4 linked regions of the Oreochromis niloticus genome follow. The protein of the gene in region 3 purifies or fractionates together with the protein of the main gene of each other region. This does not show direct contact. Links are inferred from orthologs where the notes say so. Each region holds a gene or a part of one and is shown on either strand. Other genes may lie near its edges.

What was found.
Region 1: the proteins of polr2j (region 3) and uxt purify together in Homo sapiens (affinity purification with mass spectrometry; 3 studies listed by BioGRID and IntAct, with this or other methods). This does not show direct contact. The link is inferred for Oreochromis niloticus from reciprocal best matches to the Homo sapiens genes POLR2J and UXT.
Region 2: the proteins of polr2j (region 3) and gpn2 purify together in Homo sapiens (affinity purification with mass spectrometry; 3 studies listed by BioGRID and IntAct, counting the BioPlex papers as one, with this or other methods). This does not show direct contact. The link is inferred for Oreochromis niloticus from reciprocal best matches to the Homo sapiens genes POLR2J and GPN2.
Region 4: the proteins of polr2j (region 3) and polr2m purify together in Homo sapiens (affinity purification with mass spectrometry; 3 studies listed by BioGRID and IntAct, counting the BioPlex papers as one, with this or other methods). This does not show direct contact. The link is inferred for Oreochromis niloticus from reciprocal best matches to the Homo sapiens genes POLR2J and POLR2M.

The regions. Positions count from the first base shown.
Region 1 is NC_031984.2:4,340,679-4,348,682, forward strand, and holds the start of uxt (protein UXT), read left to right. Parts: upstream 1-4,980; 5' UTR 4,981-5,184; coding exon 5,185-5,282; intron 5,283-6,730; coding exon 6,731-6,812; intron 6,813-7,887; coding exon 7,888-7,955; intron 7,956-8,004. Other genes in the region: cdk20 (cyclin-dependent kinase 20), read right to left, coding at 1-114, 878-1,001, 1,611-1,673, 2,287-2,408, 2,688-2,876, 3,474-3,587, 3,735-3,809. UniProt on the Homo sapiens protein: Involved in gene transcription regulation. Acts in concert with the corepressor URI1 to regulate androgen receptor AR-mediated transcription. Together with URI1, associates with chromatin to the NKX3-1 promoter region.
Region 2 is NC_031976.2:7,480,801-7,488,663, forward strand, and holds the start of gpn2 (GPN-loop GTPase 2), read right to left. Parts: upstream 3,014-7,863; 5' UTR 2,912-3,013; exon of another isoform or gene 2,641-2,911; 5' UTR 2,606-2,640; coding exon 2,186-2,605; intron 2,035-2,185; coding exon 1,878-2,034; intron 1,612-1,877; coding exon 1,451-1,611; intron 1-1,450. Other genes in the region: gpatch3 (G patch domain-containing protein 3), read right to left, coding at 3,326-3,518, 3,890-4,017, 4,107-4,228, 4,320-4,379, 5,597-5,771, 5,926-6,386. UniProt on the Homo sapiens protein: Small GTPase required for proper localization of RNA polymerase II and III (RNAPII and RNAPIII). May act at an RNAP assembly step prior to nuclear import.
Region 3 is NC_031970.2:1,173,933-1,180,089, reverse strand, and holds polr2j (DNA-directed RNA polymerase II subunit RPB11-a), read right to left. Parts: upstream 2,321-6,157; 5' UTR 2,265-2,320; coding exon 2,122-2,264; intron 1,599-2,121; coding exon 1,490-1,598; intron 694-1,489; coding exon 592-693; 3' UTR 509-591; downstream 1-508. UniProt on the Homo sapiens protein: Core component of RNA polymerase II (Pol II), a DNA-dependent RNA polymerase which synthesizes mRNA precursors and many functional non-coding RNAs using the four ribonucleoside triphosphates as substrates.
Region 4 is NC_031965.2:22,183,085-22,189,952, forward strand, and holds the start of polr2m (protein GRINL1A), read right to left. Parts: upstream 3,016-6,868; 5' UTR 2,792-3,015; coding exon 2,682-2,791; intron 1,127-2,681; coding exon 542-1,126; intron 386-541; coding exon 163-385; intron 1-162. Other genes in the region: myzap (myocardial zonula adherens protein), read right to left, coding at 6,223-6,823.

The sequences.
Region 1 (8,004 bases), on a different chromosome or scaffold from region 3:
CTTATAGAGCAGGTCCACTGCCTGAGGGGGCATGTCAGGGACGATTTCCTCCAATGGGATTGCTGGATTCTCCTTAAAGGTGATTTTATTGTAATCTGGCAACTCCACTATCTCCTGGAGACAGACAGGAGAGGGATTAAAATGTTTTAACCAGTTTCACAGCCATAGAAGAAAAAAACAAGACAAAATTAAACTTCGCAGAGTGAATTATTTTACCTTAGCCTTCAGATAAAATCTCACACAGACCACAAAGATGTCGCCAGACTTCAAACAGTTGTAGGTTTTTAGAGTAAACACACACAGTTTCTTTTATCAGTTTGGTTTGGAGTGCCACAAGGATCAGTTTTAGGTCCGATTTAATTTCTCTACATATTCATCATCATTTACTGCTAGTCTAAAAACATTTAAACATTTTAAATAAAGCTAAACGGAGGCCAACCAATATTTCAGGCAGATGATTGCAGGCCTATCACATATAATAATATACTGATGATGATTATGATGTTGACTATGCACTGAAAAACATTATTTTAAAAAATAACACATTGCGTCTTTTTAGCACATTTAAAGTTAATGAACGTGGATGTGGGCGGACATTTATATGCACTATGTCCAAAGATGAAAGAGTAAACACTACCACAGTGTGAATACACTGAGTGAATACATGTGGAAATTAGGCAGTGTTCCAGTTTATTTTACATCCTCATTGTGTTTACATTTTCACGATATGTCTTTTATATAAAAGACAGAATGTGTGAGATGATACTTTGATATAAAGCTTAATACTTAACCTAATACAAAAAAAGATCGAGAAGAAAATGAATGTATATTAATGTAACGTCCCCTGAAGTGATGGAAAAACCAGTGTGTATCTTACAGGCCAGCTGTCCTGAGTCGGGGTTCCCAGCACTCTGAGGACACAGCAGAGCTGCTCGATGTCGTTCTCTCCAGGAAACAGAGGAGACGAGTTCAACAGCTCCCCAAAAATACAGCCGACCGCCCTGAAACACACACACAAGCGCACACACGGACTAAACAGTAAGCCATGACTTCAGACTGCTGCTGCCCCCTGCTGTTCATCTCTGATCACTGGACCAATTTACACCTGAGCAGGAACTGTGAACACTAACAGAGTTAGCGTGTACTGAAGCTACAAGCTTACTCTTTCTTATTATATGGTCCCATGTTACATAGTATGTTAAAGAGTAATATATAATAAAATATGCTGATACAGGAAAAGAATACAAGCAGGCACAACAGAAACAAAAGCATCTAGGTTTATTGAGTAAAAGCTAATCAGCAGAGGATTCACAGTAGATAATCAAATCAAATTTATTTGTACAGCACATTTAAAGACCAAAGTGCTTTCCAGTAAAACCATGATACAGATAAAATCACAATATAAAATATAAATTACAGATATAAAATAATGACATAATATAAATGCAGAGCCAGATGAAAATCACACTAATTAGCCTCGAATGCCAGGTTAAACAAGTACTATGTAACGTAAATGTATATAATGTAATGTAAGCTATAATGATCGAACAACAGCAAAAAAATAATAGTGTGGGCGCTACTTTTAGCAGCGTTTTCAGGGTTGTACTCACCACAGGTCGACTCCCTCGTCGTACTTTCGGGCTCCGTACAGCAGCTCAGGGGCTCTGTACCATCTAAACACACACAGTGGTCAAATGTAGCTCAGTGCATTTACTGCACATTACTGATAAAGTATCAGTAATATCCAGTTGAAAGTGGTGATTATTTTAGAATGAACTGAACCAACAAGTCACATGACATGGCGACTTTAACATGATTATTATTTACTGGTGTAATGAGCACCTCAAATCTGAATATGTGAATCTGTTCTGTGACACATTTGTTCACCAGTTGAGCTTTAAAGCAAGTCTGAGTGAATATTTAAAGTATCAACTGACTGCATTTTCCATGTCACCACATGGATTTTTCCCAGCAGCACTAAAGCTAATGCTGTGCTTGTGCTTACTTTATAGAGCCATTTTCTGTATTACATTCAGCCATTCAGATACTGCATTACTGCATTTTATATACAAAAGTACTTACTTTTAGGTTCATTATATTGCATTTAAATTTTCACTTGAGATCTTTCATTTTACTGTCATTTTTCTATTTAAATGAGCATTTTGCTCTTCGTGTTTTTTACCTCACTGAGTTCTTTTGGTAAGTCATACTGTATTTTATTTTGATTAGCTAAAGCTACCTGCTAAATAAAGTATTTCTTATTTAATCTCATCTTATCCTATTTACCTGGTGGCCACCTGGTGGCTGTACAGCCTCTCTCCCTGCTCGCTGAACAGCCGGGCCAGACCAAAGTCTGCAATCTTCAGGTGGCCTGAGGAGCTGATGAGCAGGTTTGCTGGTTTCAGGTCCTGCAAACACACAAACGTCATTTTATAATTGGTTTGATTTATTTTGTTAAAGAAAAGAAACCCGAACACCACCTTCTCACCTCCTCCTGCAACACCTCAGACTGCAGCAACTATTCAGTTTTTTAGCATTTCCCATATTTTCAGCTTTTCATTTATTATGAATAACCAACAGTATTTAAATAACCTTGTATGCTTAAGTGTTGCTTGTTACAAACACAGGATTCACTGAGAAAACAGTCAGATGACTCATTAATGATAATAACTGTTAGCTGCGCTCACCCGGTGCATGACATTGTTGTGATGCAGGAAGGCCACGCCCTTCAGCAACATCATCATGTAACTTTTGACCTGCGCAGGGGTCAGAGGGCGCTGGGAATTCCTTATGACCTCAGAGAGGTCAGACAGCATGAAGTCGAACACCAGGACGAAGCCCGTGCCGTGAGGAAAGACGTCCTTCAGCTTCACCACCTGAGGAGAAAGTCACAGAAAGAAGTCCTGCATCCCTTCAGACTCCAGACACTCTGCAGCTTCTTATAATTTTCTCATATAGCCTAATCTCCTTTTTATTAACATGTCTGTTATGCTTGGCTCTTTTCTTGCTGCTCTGCTTTGATCGTCTATGTTTTCCATGTACTAATTTTTGGTTTCTGTTATATTTTGTTTGTGACATCCCCCCAGCCACCAGGGGAGCTGGAGCATATCCCAGCTACCATAGGGCAAGAGGCAGGGTACACCCTGGACAGGTGGGCAGTCTGTTGCAGGGCTAACACATAGAGACATACAACTATTTGTACTCACATTCACACCTATGGGCAATTTAGAATAACCAATTAACCTAACCCCACTAACTGCATGTCTCTGGACTGTGGGAGGAAGCCAGTGTACCCGGAGAGAACCCAGGGAGAACACGCAAACTCCACACAGAAGGGAGTCGAACTCATACTCAGGACCTTCTTGCTGTGAGGCAGCAGTGCTACCCACCGCACCACCGTGCTGCTAAACACTAATCAAATTTTAAGATTAAAATGACTCTTATCTGTAAAAACTGTCTGCACATTCACTCACATGCTCGTTGTCCTTGATCTCCTGCAGTGCTTTAATCTCCCTTAGAGCCTGGTTCGGAATGCCGTCTTCCAGCCTCCTCAGAGCCACTTTCTTCAGAGCCACCGTCTCCCCTGTCTGACACACAAGAACATTTCCATGTCACATATCTAAGCCGCTGAGGTTAGACCCCAAATTTAATGCTGATCGGATTACAAAAAAAAGAAAAAAAGAAAAAAAAAAGAAATGAAGTAAGATGCAGACATAAAAGCACCAGTCCGTCACCTCAATATGTTTGGCCTTGAAGACTATGCCATGAGCTCCTTCTCCTGTCCGACCCAGAATGTTATACTGCTCCATGTTTTCATGAGCGTTTAAAACAGCTTCAGTTAATCTGGATTTAATCTGGTCACAACTCTCACTGATGTTTTTGTTAATTCAAAGAGTGTGTGGTTTGAAGTAAACCCCCAATGATATACAAATCAGCTCCTTGGAACAGCAAACCAGAGAGAGGAACGCAAACCTCGAACTTCACTCAAAAATTAAGCCGTTCACGATGCTGCGCACGATTGCTCAATAAGATACAGTTATTAAACTATTATTTTAAGCCCAGTAAAACTTTAAACCGTTAACTTAAATTCGGCTTATATTACATATGCAACAACAAACAGCTGTAAAGAAAAGTCTCTCAGAAAATAAATCCTGACCACGGGAAGCGAGACAGCTAGCTGTTGGCTAACGTTGCCTTGGCAACGTCTTAACTCAGATAACCCAGCTAAAATTTTAAAACCTGTTACTGTTTAACTTCTGCTGCCGGCTTGACACGCACGCTTGTTAAGAAAGAAACTACAAAAACGACGATATTTAATTTTTTTAATACGCATTTTCATTCAGGACGTTTTAATAATTGTTTCGTGTTACAGTAGCTAGCTACAGAGCCGCCCGTGGTCTGCCATGTTTGTTTACAGTGACGTCATGAGACAGGACCTCCATAGAGCCAGAGCAGGTAGAAAGCATTAACCAGAATCAACGTTTTATTTTGTTTTATTTTATTTTTGATTCTTTTTTTGTTCTTGTTTGCTGTTTCATTTTTTAACGTACAAACTTAACAATTTGACTTGAACATTTGATTCGATTAATGATTAAAAAGCAATTTAGTTTATTTTTTGGTTTATAAAGCAAGTCTTTTGAACTGCATAGAGATGTACTTGATGTGTCTAAAATTTATAATCTGCTCAGGAAAATGCTTCAAATTTCCCTGACCGACAGACAGACTTTTCTGAATCCAATTGGGAAATGTTTGTTTTACAGCAGCAGGATAAAGAATAAAAATAATTCACTCCGTACTGGTATTCTACATAACGAAAAAGGCCTTCTATTCTACTATATTAAAAAATAAAGTAAGAAATTTTTTTTAGAGTTTCCGAGTTTATGCTATCATTAATTGACAAGCTTTTGCAGCGTTGCTGTCGTTTCGTCTTTTCTGTTTTCACTAAATCTATTCTTTGGGTTCATTTTGAAACCCGGAAGTACTTGTTCACACTTTCTTCTCATCCGGTGTAGAGTGGCGTGTTTACGTCCTGTCTTAGGCATGCTAGCCGGAGAGTTTGGTGTGCAGAAACATTAAAGTTTACGACAGAGAGATCGGGCAGTTCGCAGCTGGACTTTATCCGCAGCTCAACCGAATGTTTTTTCTGTTATTTGTAGCTTCTTTTAAAGAGAAGACAGTGAAGAAATGTCTGCTCCCGACAATGCCACAGCTAGACCTAACGTGGACCAGAAGGTCCTGCAGTATGAAACCTTCATCAACGAAGTCCTGAAGAGAGACTTACAGTAAGAAGACACTACAGCTGATGTCTGAACACAGTTTATTATGTCCTTACAGAGAGCTTTATTCAGTTACAGAACTTTAAAAACTAAAGTAAAAGAAATGTAATCTGTAGTTAAAGTAGTGCAAAATACTTGTGTAGATATGAGTTTATGAACTCAGATTTTTATCCAGGCAGACTTTGAACAGGTAGTAGAGGCGATATGAAGGTCAATGAGGAGTGACTACAAATTAAAGTCATTTAAAGCTTAATTAACAGCCTAATAAAGGTCAAGTCTCACAGCTGCTGATTGTATAATAGTGCTGGTGTCATTTTGGTCCCCCTCCGTGCCTTAATTACTTGCAGACTGATTATTAAATATTTACACTCACAAGTTGCTTTTTTAGGAATACCTGCTCAACCCAAATATCTTATCAGCGATTCATGTAGCAGCAACTCAATTCATTTAGGCATGTAGACGTTGTCAAGACAGCCTTTGCGTGCAATGTGTTTTTAATACAGTGGGATTGTTATACATGTCACTGCTGTGCCAGCACTGCAACAACTGGGGCAACAAACCAGACAGAACTGGAGCGTTTTGACCACACTAAGAGGAAACCTCTTACTGCTTCACATTCTGCAGCCAGTACTGCAGAGCAGAGCTCAGCATGAGCTAACAGAGTGCGAAGCACATCCAGGGACACAAGCTGTTTAGGAAAACTGTGGAGTACACTTGGCAATTGGGTCAACAAGCTCCTTCACAGCTCCATTAGAAGCAGCCTCAGACCATCTTATTTAAAGTGGATCAGTTTTGTTAATTTACAGCTTTATATTGTTTTTCTTGAACACTATGACACTAGAGTAGCTTTGCATGATTCATAGTTCAAAATAATTCTTTTTTGCCTATGACATGACTGGTTTAGCTCCCCAGACAGCGGGTGGGTGGGCTATAATAGGGATATCTCCTCTCAATGACATCATACAGATTCAAGACTTGAAAAAGTATTTAGAGCAATCTAAGGCGTTAGCCTTTGGTTCACATGGGTTACTTGTACATGCACAGACCCGACTGGTTGTGTTTAATGTGAACACTGACAATTTTATTAGGGTGTAAGAAAAGAAATACAGAAATTACTTTGTACAGTTACAGAACAAAATGGTGCAAAAATCTAAAAACTACACCTAAGAAGGAGCTCAGTTATATAGAAAGGATACAATAATGAGCTTGAATCTATTATAAGTACACATGTGTGATGGATAAGAAGGGTAGATCTAATCTTACAGGTATTTATGTGGTTCTTCAGGTTGGCATCTGAGTGTTCAGTGACACAGACTAAAGAGTTCAGGTGTCTGAAATGCTGTTTGGTGCTTTGAATCAGATTTTCTTGGCGTGTTTAGGCTGTTTGAATTATTTTGGTGCATCTGAAGGCGTTAATGTTCTCTGTAAATCAAGTGACGGCTGTCGTTTGGCAGGAAGGTGGTGGAGCAGAGGGATCAGGTTTATGAGAAGATCTCTCAGTACCTGCAGCTGAAGAACACCATACAGAGTCTGCAGGTAAACGCACACAAAATGTACTGTGTTATTTTGAAGATCTGTAGGTTTTTCAGTTTAGAAAAGAAGAGATTTCCACATCAAACTGGAGATCGTTGTAGTGTTTGTGCTGGCTGTCATTCTCTGTTAATGTTAAATGCTTCTGTCTGCTGGTTAATGAGCTGCAGACTGAGCTCTGCCAATACAGACATCTCTCTCTGTAGCTTCTCTGTGTGAGCTGTTTCTGTAATTCAGCACACTCTTCTGTGAGGAAAGATGGTGGAGCTTATCGGACCTCCATCAATACAGCTGAGCCTCACTGCAGCTGTTTATCCAGCAGATCAATACATGTGGCTCATTAGGCCGAGAGCTGTGAACCCAAACCTCCATCGTCTGGATCAAAGAGCCTGAAACTACAGCTGGAAAATCAAAACATTCAGACATTTTACCTCCACTTTTCAGATATTTAAAAAAATAATTTTTTATTTGTTTTTATTTTATTTAGAGGATGGACGTTTTTATTTTAGTTTTCAGATATTTTTTTAAATCACTCTCATAATCATTGATGTCTGTGTAGGTTTTCAGTCATCCAGGTCATGGTAATCTAAGGAGCTTGGAAAGAAAAGCGACTCGACTTCTTTAAGTTTCTTGAAGACGTTTCATCCAAGAAGCTTCTTCAGTTCTAAAACTAAACGGTGAAGAGTCCCAGGTCTTTAAGTCCTAGTGGGAGTTGTCCCATAAGAGGGTCGTTGACCCGACTATTAATCATGTGCCCCATCACACACCTTGGCTCATGTGATTTAATACTTTGAACTGTCCAACATTTGGTCTTAGAACTGAAGAATCTTTCCGGATGAAACGTCTTCAGTCACTTTTCTTTCCGAGCTTCTTACATATTCACTGATATATTTTTCTGTGGAAACCCCGCCAAACAAGCCAAACTCATTCAGTCTCTTTTCTAACTGTCATGTCATGAACGTTAACCTCTAACATGCTGTCTGAGGCCTGTAGACACTGAGATGGAGTATTTTTTTCTCTGAGCTTGGGCCGCCTGTTCCACGAGTGAATGAAAGTCACACGCTTCTTTGTGTTCCTGCAGGAGGCGGGCTCTCAGCAGCTGAAGACAGACGTTGATCTTGGCTGTAACTTCTACGTTCAGGCTGAAGTGTGAGTTGCTGACACACGAAGGTCACCAGCAGCTGTTCTGCATTCGAAC
Region 2 (7,863 bases), on a different chromosome or scaffold from region 3:
AGGATGACAAAGCCTTTTTGAAAATGTGTAAGCACACATTTCTCAGATTCTTCTTTGTGTGTTATAAGGTGTCATAATGACATAAGCAGCACGCACATGCAAAGCAATAAATCCTCAAACTTCGCTGACCTCTAACACTTTGCAGCTTTGCATTTCTCTCTTTCTCAAAGTCGAAAGCTCTTTTATTTTTGGCTGCTTTAGGCACCATAAGTGGGTAACCAAGGTAACTAATGGCTGCTTAAACTAAGAGCATGTACAAAGCATGAGTGCCAACCCGCCTCATGTATAACTCACTGGTGCCACATGCAGTGATGGCACATGGTCTAGACTCCTGTCTCCATGAACACACAGGATCAAATCACTCTCTATAAAGAAGCGATGTCAGGCAACGAGTGCAGAGTGCAGACAGCCCTCTCCCCCAATCCATCTGCACAAAATTGATCCAACCTTCAATTTGAAACGCTAAAAGCGATTTATGATTTAACGGTTCAAACAATGAAATATGAGGCATGTGACTTTTAGAAACACTTAAAGGGCTAACACAAATGAACCATGACGTCTGGTCAGTATGGATGCTTTATGACTACTTCAGAAGAAAGAACTCTTGTTTTGCACTCAACATCTAACAGAAGCATGCAAATAAAGATGTAGATACATTAATTAAGTGATAACAATGAAAATCTGTCGAGTTCACTGTCAAGACATGGCATTTGTTTTTTATGCGTACTCTCTAGACCTTTTAGTGGTCCACACAAACTGAACCCATCCATCCACACACTTTCTTAACCGCTAATCCAATTCAGGGTTGTGTCAGGGCTGGCACGTATCCCAGCTATCGCTGGATGGGGTACATCCCGGACAGGTCCCCAGTCCCTGACACAGAGATAGACAATCACTCACACTATATAGCCAGTTTAACCTAACGTGTAGGTCTTTGGACTGTGGGAGGATGCTGGAGTACCCGGAGAGAGCCCACACGAGCACAGAGAGAACATGCAAACTGCACACTGAAAGGCTCCAGCTGGCCGTCAGGTTGGAACCAGGAGCCCTTTTGCTGTGAGGCGACAGTGCCACCCCCAAACTGAAATCTTGTGGTGTCAGTTCTCGATATAAGTGTAGGAAATGTTGGATACTGTTAGTCACTCAACATTAGAGCAATGTATTACACATTCCACTGGTCTTTAACCAACAAACTCCCCAGTGCAAAGCCCGTGTGATGTTGGCATGTGTGAATAAGGCAGGCCAGCACATCTGAAGCAGACTGAGACTGTGAGAAAGGATAACTGTGGAAATTATCCCCACTAGATTCTCCCAAAACTGCCAGAACTTCATGTGTGAAAGCAGCTTATTTTATTTATTTAATTCACCGAAGCATATTCTAATTTACTGGGAGTTAAACAGACATTACCAGCTCTTCTTTTGCAGTTAATACCAAAAGCAGCACTGGTACCTGTACATTGAGAGGGACAAAGGACACAAGGCTGTAATCTTGTACGACCTCTGCCAACTTTTCATTTAGGTGGCGGAATTTTTTAAAGAAGGGGTCTGCAGCCAAGTGATCGAGAAGATAGGTCAGGTCCATGACCTCTGTGTAGAAGTCAAGGTTGAAGGCTGGAAAAGAATACAAGACAAATGTTACCAAGGATGATGATGAATAGCAACCAGTTGTGAAATTCAACAAATCAGCTGGCAAACAATGCCGGTATAGTTTTTTTTCTTTCATCCTACTTTCTTACAAGGGAAACAAAGAAATGTGATTTGTAAAAACACCTTTAATGTCTTAATCTCACTGTCTTAGAACATTTATCCAGCACAAATCAGATAATCTCTGACTACAGCCTGTAAAATGTGTTTAAAGCAAACCCTTATTAACTCACCCAGCTTGCCATACTGCTCCATCAAGTCCATCTTGGAGAGAACATTGACATGGGGAAGCTCGACATGCAGCATTGTAGACAGCGAGGTGCACAGCACCGAAATGAACTTGGCTGGATCAGCACAGTAATGAGAGTCCACGAGGTGCACCGCTGTGAGCTAAAAGAGAGGACATCCGCACAAAATTTATCTTATGATGTTATTATGAATTCACCTTGTTGTATTAAAGCTGTGTCTACATGATGGCTGTGTGGGTAAGGTAGTACCTGTGAAGGCTCAGCAGAAATACGATAATAATGATGAAGCTCACCCTGAAATTCCACTTGGCCAGCTGTGAGAAGATATTCTTCACTGAGCTCTGGTGGGTGTAGAGCTCCACCTGTCCAGGACAGTCAAACAAGAAGTAACAGTCACTGTACTGTTTCAGCTTCTCCTCCAACCAGTCCAGATTTGCTTCCACGTACTCCATGCAGTAGAGAAGTCCACCATTGGGCCCCAGCTTTAAACCTTCCATGACATCGTCCAAAGTCACCAGCTCTGAGACATCTACCGCACATGAATAAGGTATCCCTTCATTGGCTGGATCCATGTTTACAACCACCACCTTGCGTCCCAGGTGAGTCAGAAACTCTTGCATCCCTTGGCAGTAGGTGGTTTTCCCCGAACCCGGGGGCCCAATAACCACCTGACCGAAACGCAGGGAGGGCTTCACTTGTGTCTGCTTGGACATGGCTTCAGACTCGCATTAGATGGTGCTAGGATGTCCTGTGCAGAGTACCAAATGGGGTGTTGGCTGGCAGGGTCACAGGATTTGGTATCAAGAGTTCAGTTTTTCTTCCACCAACTACATTAAAAACTCATTAAACACTAAATAAACCTGGACCTGCCATCCACTCCGGTCAGACAAGACTTGTACAAAGTAGCTATTTAAAGGTTTATGTACGATAAATCGTAAGTCTACTCAAAACATATGTGCAGTTGCTTAATATAATGCTGACTTTTACTGTAAATTACAGCAATACTGACTGATATTTACCGTTTGCTGACGCTATATTTACATGCGTATAGAAGTCGCTAACACATGCTAACGCTACTCGGAAGTACATCCGAGTTACGTAACTGGCGTGTCAAAATAAAAGCCGGTTGTTAACATGGCGTGACGTGCAGGACTAATTTCAGACTACATTTTTTTCTAAATCATCTCATCCTTGCTCACACACCACATTATTCCGTGATTAATAGCTTGGTACAATTTATACACATGTATATAAGTTAATATAGGAAAACTAGACTTTGTGTGAGATTAAAAATTAGAGACACTAATCACATGAAAAAAAGGATTTTAACATATACATATATATATCTATAGATACAGATATAGGTGTGTGTTTAAAAAAAAAAAAAAAGACTTCCATGACGTTAAAATGGTTTCAATAAAATTTTATTAAAGTCATCTTTGTGATCTTTGTGGGCCAATGCTGCCACCTGGTTGCCACCCTCTGTACTTCATACTTGTGTTCGGCTGCCGTCTCAGCAAGGTATCGCCTCTGTCTATGTCTTTGGGTTTATCATACACTGTAGTTATATGATAATCTGTTCTGGCCTTTTTTACAGGATGTAAGACCAATTTCTCTCCATGATACCTGCAAAAAAGAAAAGGAAAAACCCCCCACAGCATCAGCATCACCTGCCTCACATACCAAAGCTTAAAATTATATTAGAAGGTGGCTGTTAAGCATCCACACTGGAAGCAAAGTGAGTGACATCCTGCAGTTTCAAGTGACTAAGGCCGAAATAACTGCTGGCGATGGGAAGCGGGTTGGATGTAAACTTATGTTAACTTCTTTTAACTTCCTCCATAGGATCGAAACAACTACCAATGAGAGTGAAGAATAGCAGTATTGATTGACACTTGAGCCTGGAACAAGCGACCTGCCGTCAGCTGCAGAGCAAAGTCGAAAAGGGAATTGTTTCCAGCGTAGACGCAGCTTTAGTTGATTGTGCTCATGCTCACCCAAAGCCTCTTTTACAGTTGGGATGTTGCCCCTCATTTTCAAGTGCTTCAGAAATTCCAATCTGGCTGTTTCCCAGGCCTTCACCTTCCCTCCAGCCCTGTTTCTCCATCACACGACGCCCAAAGCCCTAATCAGAGAAAAAATATATGTGCATTTATCTGACGTGTAACAAGAGGAAAGATTAGATTAAGTTATATGTGATGGCAACCTCCTCACCTTAGTGAACCTCTCAAAGCGGCCAATAGACTGATTGTGCCCCGATCCATCTTCATGACCCTCCCTAAGCCTCTTTTCATACCGCATTGTGACGTAATCTCGAGCATCCATGTCACCTCCATCTGTAAAAGGACTTGGTTAAAGGAAATCTGACCCTGCATTAATAGAGCACAGTTTAGTTAATTAGGGTAAAAAAAAAAAAAAAAAAGTTACCTTTATCATAGTAAACACTCATGTCAACATCCCAGTCATCGGCAGTTTGTTCATCAAAGTCTGAAAAACGAGAGAAACACACATGAATGTAATCACACAGTCGCTTTTGTTTTGTTAGCTATTTGTTCATGATGTAAATCTCTGGTTACACCACATCCCTCTATTGAATTGAGATCTGGTGACTGCCATTTGAGTACAATGAACTCATTGTCATGTTCAAGAAACCAGTTTATGATGATCTCAGTGTTTTCACATGGCTTGTATTCTGCTGGAAATGGGTACACTGTGGTCAAAAAGATGGATCTACATGGTGAGTAGCAACACAAAAGTAGACTGTGACATTTAAATGATGGTCAGTTGGTACGAAGAATCCCAAAGTGTGCTAAGAAAATATTCCACACCCCAGCAACCTGAACCGTTGACACAAGGCAGGATGAATCCATGCTTTCATGTTGGTTACTCCCAATTCTGATGTTCCAATGTTTCCAAAGTTTTTTTCCAGTCTTCTTTTGCCCAGAGTTGTTGAACTTTTGTGAACATCAGTTTCCTGTTCTTAGCAGACAGGAGTGGCACTCAGTGTGGACATCTGCTGCTGCAGCCCATCTGCTTCAAGGTTTAACATGTTCAGAGATGCTGTTCTGCCCCCCCTTTTTGTAACAAGTGATTATTTAAACTACTGTTGTCTGGTTGTTCTCCTCTGACACCAAATGAGGCATTTTCACCCACAATTTGCTGCTCACTTTATATTTTCTTGTTTTTGGACCGTTTTCTGTAAACCCGACAGATGGTTGTGTGCGAAAAACACCGGAAGATCAGCAGTTTCTGAAATACTCAGGCCAACCTGTCTGATAGCAACAACTATGTTTCAAGTTACTTAAACGATCTTTCTTCCCTATTCTGATGCTTGGTTTAAGCTTCAGCAGGTCGTCCTGACCACGTTCGCATGCCTAAACTCATTCAGTTGCTGGCATGTGATTGGCTGATGGAATTTTTGAATTAGCAAGCTACTGAAGAGGTGTATCTAACAAAGCGGCCAGTGAGTATATTTGCAATTATCTTTTAATGTATGTTATTGTAAGGCAGAATTTTGTTTTCAGCATCTCGACTGAATTGATTTCTTATACTAATTAACACATACACACACTTTCAGTTTGCCTTTCCACACCTATTTTACCTAAAGTTTGCTTAATAACCTGCACACCCCATTGCTCGTTTATTAACATTATATAGTATGCAAGCCTTTTTCTTCAAAGTGAATTAGTGTTTTTGGTGCCTACCTCCTTCTTCCTCTTGCCAGTACTGAGCATCAGTGTAGAACACCAGACCTGAGCCTCCTTTTTCCCACTTCAGCTCAATCTCTTCTTCAAACAGTCTCTCTTTGGTTCGCTCCTGGCTTGTTACATCCTCATGCAAAGCCTCGTGGCGTTCCCACTCCTCACAGCAGTCATCATCCTACAATCAATCACATGAAGAAATTAGCATCTACAATAAAGGGATGATGGTTTTAGTTAGGCTGCGCCTATTGGACAGCCGACACAAACTAAAACCAATACATTTATCCGACACGCTGACAGACAGCTGGTTGATAGGTATGAACTGAACCTACATCATCAGCATTCGACTGTGCATCCTCTTCCTCTGCGTCTTCTTTCTGTGCTTCATCAGCCTCAGTGGTTTCTGTGTTATCATCCAGCTGCCTCGATCCTAAGGATGAACCAGGCAAAGTACCTGGTCCTGATATTTCATGTCCAGCAGCTGTTAATACAGTCTGTTCTGTGGCTGGAAGTGTGCAAGTGTCATGGTACTGGAAGGGCACGTTCCCATAGCGACGGTTGGAACTCGTCTTGGGGAAAGTGAGCCCCAGTTTCCGAATGAGGCGTGGAGGCAGGCGGCAGGCTTGGATGAGCTGGAGAAACACTTTTACGGGTGTGCCCACATTCCCGTTCTGCATCAGAGCAGGTGGATTAAGTTCGGAGAGGCTTCTGAGGTCGGCCTCTGTGAATCGCTCCGTTAAGGAAACACGGTGCCGCTGTTCATACTTTGTTTTATAGGGGAAAGATCCGTCATCTGAAAGAAAGAAAAAATAATAATACATGTAAAAACAGTGACAAAAACCACATGATGTGAAAAGTTCATGCATCTCTTACTTCTAGGCTGGGTCATTGTAATTCCTTACTGTCAGGTTCTCCTAAAAACTTCCCATAAAGCCTTCAGTGAAAACCAAAACAAAACAAAACGCTGCAACGAGAGTGCAGACAGGGACCACAAAGAGAGATCATATTTTTCCCCATACTGGCTTCTCTTCACTGGCTTCTTGTTAAAACCAGAACTGAATTTTAAATCCTTTTCCTCACATACAAAGCCGCCATCTTATCTTAAAGACCTTAAAGTTTAATATCATCCCAGTAGCACTCTTAGCAGGCTTATGATTTGTGGAGTTTCCAAAAGTAGAATGGGAGTCAGAGCCTTTAGCTGTCAGATCCTCCCCAGTGGATCCAGGAGACAGACACCTCTTCTACGTTGAAAGTTAGGATTTAAACTTTCCTTATTGATAAAGCTTATAGTTAACAAGATAGTCATAATTGTTTTTTGCTACAGGCTCAAGGTGCTGGGCTGAGGCTTCTCATGATGCACTGAGCATATAGTCTCCATTTCCCATCTTTTCACTCCCCATATGTTTAATATGCCACTACTGCATGATCTTAACCTTTTTTTAGTCCTGCTTGTTGTCTATATGCTCCAGCCTGAGCCTGATTCAGCTGGAGGTCTCTTCCAAATAAAATCAAGTTATTTCAGACACCAGTATAGGAGACCCGTGTGCCGTAACGCTATTGCCTAAGAGAGGCCTAAGTTCAAATCTGCCCCAAGGCCATTTACTGTGTGTCTTGCCCATGCTCTTTGTCCCAGCTTCCCTGTCTTCTCTCCACTAAATTTGGAATCTCTCTCCAACACTGTGGGGTGACTATAACTCAAGAGGTAGAGCAGGTCATCTACTAATCAGAAGCTTGGTGGTTTGATCCCTGGCATGCAGACTGGAGAAGTGTTACAATATTGAGTTGTATTTTGAGCAGCTTCGGCAACTAACCAAGTTTCTCTCATCCATCAGAGTGTCAGTGTTAGACAGAAAGCAATTTAAAAAGTGCTTCTATGAATGGGTGAAGGAGACGAGCTGTATGAAGCACAGTGAGTGTTCAAGTAAAAGAAAAACGTTATAGTATATAAGACCCAGCCAATTTAACATTTTAATGTCTGTCTTCTTCTTTCAGCTGCTCTCCTTAGGGGGTCACCACAGCTCATCTCAGTCCTGTCCTTTGCATCTTCTTCAAGGGATAGGAGATGGAGGCAGATGTTATTCTACTGCCTCTACCTTACAGTTAACAGCAAAATATACCTTCACCCATGTCAGCTTCACTGCTACAAGGACAGATCCAGGAAGTCATCCTGGTCGTAATACGTTTTAATAATCCTCCACATCTGTTAAAATTCAGTTTTGCTTTGTTGACTTAAAAGCATTTCCCCAAATATAAGATAAATAAATAATTGC
Region 3 (6,157 bases):
TAAATAAAACCCAAGTGGGAAGAGTTGGACTTTTTCTATGAAAACATATTTAATGAATCATTTTCATAACTGGAACGCAAATATAAATTATAAACTGGTAAACTCAGTATGAACAGGAGCTTTTTTTTTTTGGCAAATATTTTTATTAATAAAAAGAAAACAACACAGTACTTGCACTTACCGAAATACAATTAACCTTTCTTCATTTTCCTAACTAAATATACTTATATATGAAAAAAACTGAACCGGAGCTTTAAGCTTTGAGGTAATCAGGTCACTGCACAGCAGGTTTGTGATGTAGATGAAGAAAAAGCTGTTTTTGTAAGGGTGATAATGATCAGAGTATTTCTTCTCTCTATTATTGTTTGCAAACAAATAATTTGTGCTAAGTTCTGTCTAATGATCTGTTAAAACAAACACAGGAAAATGTTGACCAGCACTTTAAACTTCAATCAGCTGCAAGCAGCCACCGCCTGAGCTACAGGTATGTCACACACACTCATCAGGATATGGCATCACAGGCTTTATTTAAAAAAAACAGAAGACAAACAGAGGACAGGTAACTGGAAGTGACATCACGATGGGGCGGGGTCACTCTATGCCTTCCTGTTTGTCTTTGATGGCGACTCTGAAGCGTTCCTCCAGCAGTGACAGCTCGCTGATCAGGTCAGTGATAGCGTTCGTGAACGCTTCCTGTCAGGAACAACATCATTTCCTGTCATTTAATTTCACTTCCTGTAACTAAGAGCTGTAATCAGAAGTGTGTTCCAGGAAACAGGTTTAGTTTAACCCTGAGATGAGGGAAACTTGGGTTTTCTGTTCCAGAAGGTCAGTTACCATGGTAACACTCTTATTATAATCAATCACTCTGATGGATAAATGGATCTTATTTGAGTGACGTTCAGGCTGAGATGGCTTTAAAACTAAAGCTGAACTAAATGTGTTTAAAGTCACTGCAGACAGTCTGATTGTAATCTGATTACATTTCACATTGAAATGTAATCAGATTGAGGTTCGGTCATTTAAAGTCAAACAGCCTGGGCAGATTTTCCACTGAACATCACCTGAATCAGCCTCTGCGGGTCGACCCAGAACCAGATCAGCCAGAACATGGGCTCCATGACGGATCAGCAAACCGAGTCCACTTGCACGGCAGGACGGATCCAAAATGGATTTTCGATCACGGATTCAGATCGGCTCAATCCCAGATCCAGGTCTGCTCGGTCATTTCCCAGCTGATCCCGTCTGGATCCGTTTGCAGCTCTGCTCTGATCTCTATTCCTGATTTAAAATGTGTCATTCTTCCAAAACTATCCTGAAATATCCTGATCCTGTAGAAGCTGAGACGTCTGTAATAGGTACGCATGCACATAACTCAGTGGGAACACACTCAGAGCTGAATGAACTAACTGATCACCCTTCTGGAACAGGAAACTCAGAGTCTGATGAACATACTTCCTGGAATATCCCACAGGTGTGTGCGTGTTACCTGTGGGCTGTAGTCAGGTGTGGTCTGCACTCTGATGACGATCTTGTGCTCCAGAGGATGAGGAACTTTATAACCAGCAAACAGAACCTGAGGGTCCTTCAGCAGCTGACTGACCACACACACACACAGAGAAAGTCATTTGATTGGTGGACAGACTGTAAGGATGAGCAGTTTAGTGTGAATGGTGTGTGTGCAGCTCACATGACAGTCTGACGGAAGAATATTTGAGGATCAGTTCATTAACTTTGCTGATTTTATGATCAGGCACTGGGACAGCCACCTGTGGTGGCTTACACTAAGACCTGTTTCCCATCAGCAGCATGTCATGATTTATTAAAAAACAAAAAGCAAGTAGAGATCAAATATTCCAAGACTATGTTCTGGTTTTCTGTAAAACACCTCCTACGCTACCTGTAAGATTGAAACACCTGCAGGCTGCGTGTTAGCATCTATCTCTGAGCCGCTGCTCAGCATTTGTGTGGCTGTTAGCCTCAACTTAGCCAGCTGTGAAGCCGGGTCTGGGACCCTTACGCTCGGATGACTTTAGCGGGCTGTTGTTAGCCTGAGGTTAGCCTGTTGTTAGCCTGGATGTAGCGGTGTGATGCCTTTGCGGCCGTGTCTCGGGGCCTTACGCTCGGATGATGTTGCCCAGCGTGTGGTCCTCCTTGTTCAGGGTGAACAGGCAGGCGTTCGGGACTTTGGTGTCCTTGCTGATGCTGATCTTTTTCTCCCCTTCGAACAGCAGGAACGACTCGAAAGCGGGAGGCGCGTTCATCTTACCTGTTCACTGCTGCTGCGGCTGCTTCTTCTTCTTCTTCTTCTGTATAGGGTTTATTGGCGGTTGGCAAACAACTGAATGGTGCATTACCGCCTCCAACTGGTGTGGAGTGGGGACTGGAACGTCGCTCAAAAAACCCCCCAAACCCCTCAAATGCTCCCAAGCAATTTACTCTCTTTTAAAAACTGGGATAAGGCCTGATAACTTTCACTTCTCGAGTCCTTTTGCAGAAAATCAATAAGAACTAGTTTCATTTTCATATTGCTGAGGTTTTGGGTCAGTTGTCTTCTCTCCACCTGATACTTCTGACAGTCTAATATAACATGTTCTATCGTTTCCTCTTCTCCACAGTCGTCACAATTCCCTGTATTATGTTTCCCTATCATGACTAGTGTAGTGTTCAAACCAGTATGTTCTAATCTTATTCTCGATATGGCCACCTCCTCTTTCCTACTCCTTTCTGTGCTCCTCATTTCTCCTACCCTCCTTTGGATTTTATCCAACCACCGTCCCCTCTTTTCCTCCTCCCACTGTTTTTGCCATCTTTTTTTTGTTTCTTGCCTTACCATACTCTTTACCTCTGTCTGACAGAAGCTAATACCCAGGTCAACTACCCCATGTTTTGTGGCTTCCTTTGCAGCTCTATCTGCCATTTCATTTGCTCTGACTTCACAGTGAGCTGGAATCCATAAAAACACACCTGTAAGTCTCGTCATGTGTATTCTGTGAAGTGTTGCTGAATCTCTGCTAGGACATGTGCTCTGCTTTCTGAGCAGCTACTCTGTAAACTGACCAATGACGAGCCTGAGTCTGAACAAATAACTGCTTTTAACGGTTTCATGTCTTCTGCCCATTGAACAGCTAACAGTATTCAAGAGCAGCCTGTGAGGTCCTGCACACTGTAACCAGCAGACTCCAAACACAGCACCCTCAGGCCCTTTTCCTGATCTGTGGGGACTTTAATCACATCTCCCTGTCCTCCACTCTCCCCACCTTCATCCAGTATGTTACCTGCCATACCAGAGACAATAAAACATTGGACTTATTGTATGCCAACACCAAGGAGGCATACAACTCATCACCTCTCCCTCCCCTGGGGGGCTCAGATCACAACCTGGTTCATCTCCAGCCTGCGTATAAACCTCTAGTACAAAGAGAACCAGTTGTGAAACGCACAGTAAGGAAATGGTCGGCAGAGACTGAAGAGGCCCTGAGGGACTGTTTCCGTTCTACTGTGTGGGACAACCTCTGCAGCCCCCTGGAGGATGACCTCAACAGCATCACAGACTGCATTACGGATTACATGAACTTCTGTGTGGACAACACCGTACCCATCATAAAGGTACAGTGTTTTTCAAAAAACAAGCCATGGATAAATCCTGAAATTAAGGCTCTCCTCAAGGAGAAGAAGAGAGTCTTTAGATCTGGAGACAAACAGGAGCTGAGAGTTGTCCAGAAGAAGCTGAAATGGAAGATAAGGCAAGGAAAGGAAAACTACAGGAGGAAGATGGAAGAGCAGCTGCAACAGGACAACATCAGAGGGGTTTGGAACAGCCTGAAGACAATCTCAGGACAAAAACCAACCCCCCAGGCTGCAGGAGACTTGGGGTGGGTGAATGACCTAAATCAGCGGTCCCCAACCTTTTTTGCGCCACGGACCGGTTTATGCCCGACAATATTTTCACGGACCGGCCTTTAAGGTGTCACGGATAAATACAACAAAATAAAACTAGTACCGGTACCGAAAAAAAGATTTATTCATAACACACATGAAAAGACCCAGGAAAACCGAGTTAACAATAAAAACGATAACAGAATAACGCTGAAAACCGATAAAAACCCTGAAAACCATACATTTCACACCTGAGCCTCAACTCTCGTGGCCCGGTACCGGTCCGAGGCCCGGGGGTTGGGGACCGCTGACCTAAATAAATATTTTAATAGGTTTGATCAACCACCCACCCCTCCCCCAGCATCGTCCCCCCTGCTGCAATCTCCCTCATCTTCAGGGACTGCCTGTCCTTCATCTCAGAGCTTCACACCTCTCAGCTTCACACCTCCCAGCTCCCAGTCATTACACCCACCCCCGGCTTCTGTGGACTCCAACATACACCCCCTCCCCAAAATCCACTCTTTCTATCTCAGCACTTCAAGTGAGGAACGAGCTTCGCAAGATCAAGGTGCGGAAGGCTGCAGGTCCAGATGGCATCAGCTCCAGGCTCCTGAGGTGCTGCGCAGATGAACTGTGTGGCATCCTAGGATATCTGTTCAACCTGAATCTGTCACTGGGGAAAGTACCACAGCTGTGGAAGACATCTTGTGTGGTACCGGTACCAAAGACCTCCCATCCCAAGGACCTCAGCAGCTACAGGCCGGTAGCCCTGACATCGCATCTGATGAAGGCCCTCGAGAGGTTGGTTCTGAACCATCTGCGCCCCCTGGTGAGGTCTTCATTGGATCCACTGCAGTTTGCTTACCAGCCTGGCATCGGGGTGGAGGACGCCATCATCTACCTCCCTCACCGAGCTCTGACTCACCTGGAGAAGCCTGGAAGCACTGTGAGGATCATGTTCTTTGATTTCTCCAGTGCTTTCAACACCATCCAGCCACGACTTCTGAGGGACAAGCTGGAGCTTTCGGGAGTGGACCACCACATGTCCCAGTGGATACTGGACTACCTCACAGAACGTCCACAGTATGTGAGGTCACAGGTCTGTGTCTCTGACACGCTGGTCAGCAGTACGGGGGCCCCACAGGGGAGTCCAAGGAGCGCTTCTTTTAAAGACCTTCTATGACTCTGTGGTGGCATCTGTCATTTTTTACAGTGTTGTATGTTGGAGCAACAGTTTATCGGCAGCTGAGAGGAAGAGGTTGGATAAACTCATCAGGAAGGCCAACTCTGTTCTGGGATGCACCCTGGACTCAGTGCAGGTGGTGGGAGACAGAAGGACTCTGGCCAAAATAACATCTCTGATGCACAGAGTCTCCCACCCCATGCATGTAAATGCTGCTGAACTGCAGAGCTCCTTCACTGACAGACTGCTGCATCCTCGATGCATGAAGGAGTGTTTCCGCAGGTCCCTCCTCCCTGCAGCTGTCAGACTGTACAACCAAAACTGCTCCCAACAAACATAGAGGTTTACATCAGCGCTGTAACTTGCACTATTTTATCAGCCGATTTACACTATAACCAGGGTTTGCCTCTTATCTGTATTTCATTTTATTTAATTTAATAACGGTACAGTACTCTGTTTTTGGTAACCATTGTCGTTGATGTAAATATGTAAAAATTGTGTATGTTTCTGTTCTGTGTCTTGTGTACTGTTTGTTTGTATATGTGTCCTTCTTGCTGCTTTCTTTCCAAGCTCCTTAGACTATGACCTGGATGACTGAGAACCTTCACAGACAATGAAAATAAAAAGAAAACATTAAATGTAGTGTATGTGTTAAAAAATGAAATACATCATTCAAAAAGATGTAGAATTGTTTCACTGACTGTTTTACAGTTTTACAGTACAAGATTCATCCAGATCATTTCTATAGTTTTAATAAATTGGTTTGTTATTCGACGTTGTTGGTGATTAAATACTTCTTATTGTAAGTCCATATCAATGACTCATTAATATTCATAAAGTTACTGTTCCAGTAAAACTCACAGTGAGGAGTTATAGGACAATGAATCATATATGTTTTATCCAGTATATTAATGGCATCTCTGAGAACATCTTTATTCAGTGCTGTCTGTATATTTGGTCCATTTGTGTCATCATGAAACACTGTACTGTGTTCGCTCACAGATATGGGAACATCACAGGTCCTCACAACACAGGATATGGAAGAAAATTACCTTTTTCCTTCACTAGCTGGGACACATCATTAATATTATTTTT
Region 4 (6,868 bases), on a different chromosome or scaffold from region 3:
ATATTACATATAACTTATGTGTATTAAAAATGTATTTCTTGTATAAAAGGAGACATTCAGAACAGCTTTGGTTGAACCATATTGCTAAGTGATCTAGTGAGGCACTGGCTGTTTCCACCCAGCCTGTTTAGCCTCCTTAGAAAGGCACTCGGCCTCACTAACCAGCTGTTTCTTGGTTTGCTCCTTCAGCAGTGCGGCTGACTCCTCCAGAGATAGGAGCTGGGCTGGATTGTGATGGAGAGGGGGGAGTTTGGCAGCAGTGATGTCATCCAGGTGTTTTCTGTCCCGCTCCCTCCTGGCTTGCGCAGACAGTGGCGATGAGCCTTCGGAGGACTGACTGGGTGACGAGGATCCTGATGGAGAGACGTCACTTCTATGAGGCAGCCTGGAAACACATTAAGGTGCATATTATTTACACTCAGCTAACTTACACAGAGGACAAAAAGGCAGAACTATGTCAAACGTCTTACTGAATAAAATCTGGATTATTGGAGCATTTTTGTTGGAAATGTTCAGGAAGTAGTAAATAAAGTCCACTCACTGATTTGGTTTAAATTTTTGCTTCCTGGGAGCTGCAGACTTCTCTGTTTTTTCCAGGACAGTTATATAGTGAGGCTTCTTTGGTGGTTGCTTTCTGAGAAAGTAATTGTCTCTTGCACTGCTGTTTAATGGCTCTTTGGATTCGCTGCTGCCACCAGTAGTAGTTCCAGACACCGTGACCCTTTCCAGGGCCTCCACAAGGTCACCCTCTTTTGTTTCATCAGAGTTCACAGAGGCCCCACGAGCTGCCGTTTCCATGGTTTCCACAGCAGTCGCTCCGGAGACAAACGACTCTCGTTGCTCGTCCAAAGTGTGGTTTTGTTGCACTTGCGCTGAGGCAGGTGAGGTCTCGCTCTCCTGTGCAGCAGCCTCATTTTGCCTGTTTTGATGTGAGGCTGCTGGTGTGATGGAGGCAGCACGCCGGTGAGCAAAAGCCTGCTGGTACTTGGACTGTAACTCTGTCCTCGCAACAGACACTAGGCTTCGTCTCCTCTCCTCCTCACTGTGATCATCAATGGCAAGACGCACTTTATCTGCAAAGTCTTTTATCTTTTTCCCTTTGTCAGGTAGAGTCTGCAATAACCTCCTGCAAACAACACAAACGTATCATTGCAAAAATATTCTACAAACAATATTTCGATACACAACCAGAGCCACACTAAATGTCAGACACATACACGTCTGTAACCCCTCCCTGACCCCAAATAAGAAAAAGTCTTACATGCCATGTTTTCCTCTTAATTGTTGATAATGGCAGTCAAAGCTGATACTAATGCAGTGATGATGATCTAAAGCCAGATTTACCAGCATGTTGCACCAGCACAACTGGGTTTTGGCATTTAAAAAAAGTATTTAAAAAAGAGTTTCTTTGTCAAGGTGTGAAATATAGGGAGTAGAAAATTTAAATAAAGCATAAAATCTGATTTACCAACGCCAGCAACATGTGTTTTACTACAAACTACATATTTAGATCTGAAAAAAAAAATTTTTTTTGCACCTTATTCTGAAATGACTGCACCCGTGTTTAGAAAACAGCCCCACATTTTTATTTTAGTTAAATAAAATGTTTCGGTTTTTTTACATCTAGTTTTAGTTAACTATAACACAAACTTGCTGTGGGGCCATTTGAGTACAGTGAGCTTACTGTCATGTTCAAGAAACCACTTTGAAATGATTTGAGCTCCATGACATGATGTATTATTCTACAAGAAACAGCCATCAGAAGATGGGTCATAAAAGTATGGAAATGGTCACCGACAATACCCTGGTAGGCTACAGAGTTTAAATGATGCTCAACTGGTGCTAAGGTGCCTAAAGTGTGTCATGAAAATGTCCCTAACATTATCATCATTATTGTTTCCACAACTAGCTCCCTTAACTGTTCATACAAAGCAGGATGCATCCAGGCTTTCATGTTTAAGCCAATGTCTGATCGCAGCAGAAACTGAAATTTTACAGACAAGACAGCATGTTTCCAGTCTTTTATTAATAAGCCTGTACTAAGTAAAGTCTCAATTTTCTGTTCTTAGTTAATAAGAGTGTCACCCAGTGTGGTCTTCTGCTGTTGTAGCCTGTCTGCTTGAAGGTTGGACATTTGCGCCTTCAGAGATGTTCTTCTGCATACCTTGGTTGTCAGGAGTAGTTATTTTCCTTCCTATCAGCTCAAAATACACTGGCCATTCTTCTCTGGCAACAATAAGACATTTTCACCCAGTGAACTGTCGCTTACTGGATATTTTATCTTTTTTGGATCATTATCTGTAAACCGAACTTCAGCAGGTGCTGTTGACCATGTCTACAGGCCAAAATGCACCGTGTTGCTGTCACGTGATACCTTGACAACGAGTTTTACAGGTGTACCTAACAAAGTGACCGAGAGTGGTGTGTGTTTGTTTTGTTTTTTACCCCGTGTTACAGCAGAGTAGTGTCGCCTGTGCATCGTTTTTTACAAAAGCATTTCATATTTTCACCTGAGCCAAAGTGGACTGATATAAACACGTTGTCAGTAGATCCTCTGTCTTAGTTTCAGTGCATATTCCTGAACACAGAGAAGTCACTTTATCAAACCGGATCAAAGCTAACGGGATGGCCGTGCGCATAAGTGTCACGTTTCTCTCATACAACCTAAGGATTAAACTTACTTGTTACTGAGTATCCTTTCTTGTCGGAGTAGCAGTTCCTGTAGTTCTTCTTTACTCAGGTGTCCCAGGTCTCCCACCTCTCCCTGGCGCTCTGTCCACGACGAGGACATCACTGTTAGCTAAAGTAAGCTAGCTACAGCCATCCACAACAGCACGAGCCCGCTTTAAACTTCACCGTAAACACGAAGGTTTACGGTAAATCTACCGGTTGATTGATTCCTTTATTATTAGAGAGCTTCAGAAAACTCCTTAAGTGACTAATTCACTTCTTCAACACATGACACAACATTTCAAAGTGGGACCCTTCTTCTTCTTCCTGTGTGAAAAAAATAGCCCTCTATCGCCCCCACTGAACGGGACACGGTAACACACCTCTTCCCTGTAAAGACTGTGAGGCTTATTTGCTGCCCTCTGCCGGTCAAACGTGGTAACCAGCCTGGATGCAAGAGCTTTCTCTCTTAGCAGTGCGATTAGTACAGAGTCTGGACTGGGCTGGTGTCTCAGATTTTCCACAGCTGCATTTCCTGTCCGGATGTTTTCCGATCCACTTCTCACTCAGCTCAACTGACAATGAATGACCCAAACACAGCTGTGTCCTCTCCAGCCTGTGTCAAAGTTCAAAGTCAGTTTTGGTTGCAGCTGTACAGTTGGAACAAAGTCTCTGACTTTACCTTTAGAGTTCAGACTCTAAGTCAAAGTTTAAAGTTTCCCATTTTTCCAGAATGTATTATTCCAAGACCTATTTCTCAAGTATCCCAGATACTGTCAAAAAGAGAAATGCTTCTTTTTTCACGCTTATCCTTATTAATCAGTTGTAATCAAAGTAAGCATTAAGTTTTATTATTTTAGTCCTGCCCTAATCCTCCAAAATGTTTAATTTCTTCTTCATCCCTCAGCTTCTCTCTGTCACCAAAGTCTTGCTGTCCTCATGCAGTTTCACACATATGGATGCACGGACATCTCAGCTGAAAATCAAAGATTTTTTTTTACTTCTTTCAGCCCTTCATAGCACTAACCTGTAAATTATTCTTTTGTTGTAGCTCTTGTTATATCAGCTCCACATTCCTGATCATGACTGGTGTGGGCAAATATCATGGCTCATTTTGATTACTCAATGCACAGCTCATTATGCAGTGAATAACTTGCAGCAACTACAAATTGATAATTTAAAGATATGTGCACATGCAATCATAAAAAGCCCTAGAATTACACTGTAGACACACATTCATGCCATTCATGCATGTTTATATAAAAGTGTGTGACTAAATAAAAGAAATACAAACCGATTTTAAAAGACTCTTTCTTGTAAGTGCAGCCATCTTGTGACACATTCAGGATCATTTGCACAGTCTTTATTATCCAAACAGATGCTGGCCTCTCATCGTTAATCGCAGTATTATATGTATCAACGAGGAAAAGGCACATCATAAAACTATTTCAAACACAGCTGTGGCAGTACAGATGACACCTGGATAACACTTGTGCCAGTGGCTCAGGAACGGCAGTCACCTTATTAAAGTTAATATCGTTAATAACAGATTTCTCAAGAATTTGCCACGTCCTATTTTGCCATATTACCCTGCTTCCAATTAAAATAGCTTTCCTTCCACCACCAGGACCACAGAGTAGGTTGTCACAAAGGCACAAACCATAATAATAAATATTATATTATCAACAGTAACAAAATATCATATGTTTAATTTGTACAGAGCACATATAAAATGATAGGAAAATACACACAATAACCATATCGACCTTCATATAGGACTGAATGCTCATAGCTCAGTGAGCAACATGAATAGAACAGATTCACTGTAAACGGAAGAAATATATTCCATATTATATCAGTTAGAAAAATATTTTTTACATAGCATCACATCATTTACATCCTACAGCAAGCTACTTTTGTTATTATTAGAGCTATGTGCAAACATGGGACAGAAACCCACATAAGACTTTTTTGCTTCACTGGCCAAAAATCATTATCTCCGACATAAATAAGTGAGATATTACTGACATGGATGTGCCAGCTTTAAAATTATGTAAAACAGATTCTTGTGTTAGTACATTTTTAAAGGGATATTTGTGAAAATTAGACCAAAGACAATCGAAGTTTAAGGGGAAAATTCCACACTTTGGTCTAGTTAAGATTAACGGCTCTGATTGCATAAGTAACCCTCTTATATTCACTACATGGACATAAATATTGGGCCATTCTTATTAATACTTGAATTCAGGTGTATAAAGTCAAATACCTGGCCAGGCAGTCTGCATGTACAAAGAATTGGTTGTTCCAAAGAGCACACTTTAATGCTACTGTTGCATGGGTTTACATGGCAGAGCAGCTCCTGTAGGTGTGCTGTGTGTTGTGTCTGTTATCCCAGTGTTCCTGTTGTCCCTGCATTATCATAATAATGTTGGTCCAGGATCAACATTGCAACTGACCAATCACTTTGTGTTTTATTAAATATTTTCTTTATAAAGTTATGCAATGTAATAAATACATTATCAAGTTAGGTTGGCTGTTAGCTAACTGGCATTAACAAGCATTAGCTAGGCATTAGCCAAATTCTAAGCTAATGCTCGGCTAACTAAATGCTCCTTTGTCATTGGTCAGGTGTAATGTTGATGCTGGATCACCATTATTATGATGATATAGGGACATCATCAACACGGGGATATCAAAACGTGAGTAATGTGCAGCTAGGTTGGTAGTTCTGTCCACGTAGTTTATTTACATACTATTATTTCTTGCATAGTGAGTCAGTGGTATTCTTGAAGCACACTAGCTGATGTTTTAATGGCTTACCTGACTTTACGTCACTGCGTTTTCACTTTTAATCCTAAAGTTAATGTTACTCTATGTTATACCAACACAGAGTAATGTTATCATATTACATTATCAAAATTTGTTTTTAAGACTGTTATTTTTTACAATTTGCTGTCAAAAATTTTATGGTAGTATAGTATGCAAACGTTAAGGTCAAGTAAGAGAATAATAAAAGATGTTACTACTGCACTACTCCAACCAGTTTTTTAATACGCTTGTCTCTTTCTCAGCACACATAGACTGAGTTAGAGGATACTATTATTTAGCTTTAGCTACATATTTACTGTTGATATACAGATTAGCTCTGTACTTAGCACTGATACAAAAAAATAGAGGAAAGAGAAAATAAAATCCATCTGTCAACAAGTTTAAAGAAAAGTAATTAAACTGTTAACTCGTGTTGTCATCCACATGGAAACGAAGCCACCATCTGACAGGGAATCTGGATCAAACTAGTTCGTAACTGGGGACAATGACTTCCATGAGTTTCTATTCATTTCCAGGTTTTTTTCCTCTCCCAGTTTGATAAAATGTTGTTTTTACTCTAATTTCCCGTTTTCAGGCTGTTTTTATTGCTTATAAAAAGAAGTTTGTGCGTTACTTGTTTACCCTGTTTTCAGTAATTATACTAAGCTAAATGGCTTCATAGTTTCATTGACTCTCCTTGATTAAGTCTGGGCTCATGTATTTTCCAGGACTGCTCCTTTAACTTTACTCTATGTTTATCTTTGCTGTCATTTCCATTAGTTTCATGAACGGTGTATAAACTCGCACTCCTGATCGTGGTCGAGAAGAAGGTGGGGATGAAGTGGACTCCTCTGGTATGGAGCATGTGCCTCTGCTTGTTTGTGCGTCCAGCTCGTCTCCTCCAGGCTGGACCGGACTGACACCAGCTTCAGACTCAGATGGGTGGATGTAGGAGAATGTCCCACGCTCCTGTGTGGGGTTGGAATCCAGGAAGCGGCTGTACTGGACAGGAGTGTACCTTAGTAAACTTGACTCTAGCCTGCTGGGGGGAGGGTTATTAAGCTTAAACGTCCTTGGCTGAGTGGGCAGTGTTAGGGAGAGCGATGGATGTTGAATGGGAGGTGATGATGAGGGTTGTGCCAGGGATGAGGGCGCTATGGAGGAAGGGTTTGGTCTAAGTGATAGAGGATGAGTGGGTGATAAAGGCTGTGTGGGTGACAGTAGTTCAGTGGGTGATGGGAGTTTCACAGGTGATAGAGGATGATCAGGTGATGGGGGTTGGATGGGATAGAGATGAGTTGGTTCACACTGAACAGGCTCAACATCAAACCTCTGTGCTTCATGTCTGCAGAAGCACAGTCAGAAACCAGAGTGAGAAAACACCTCCTAA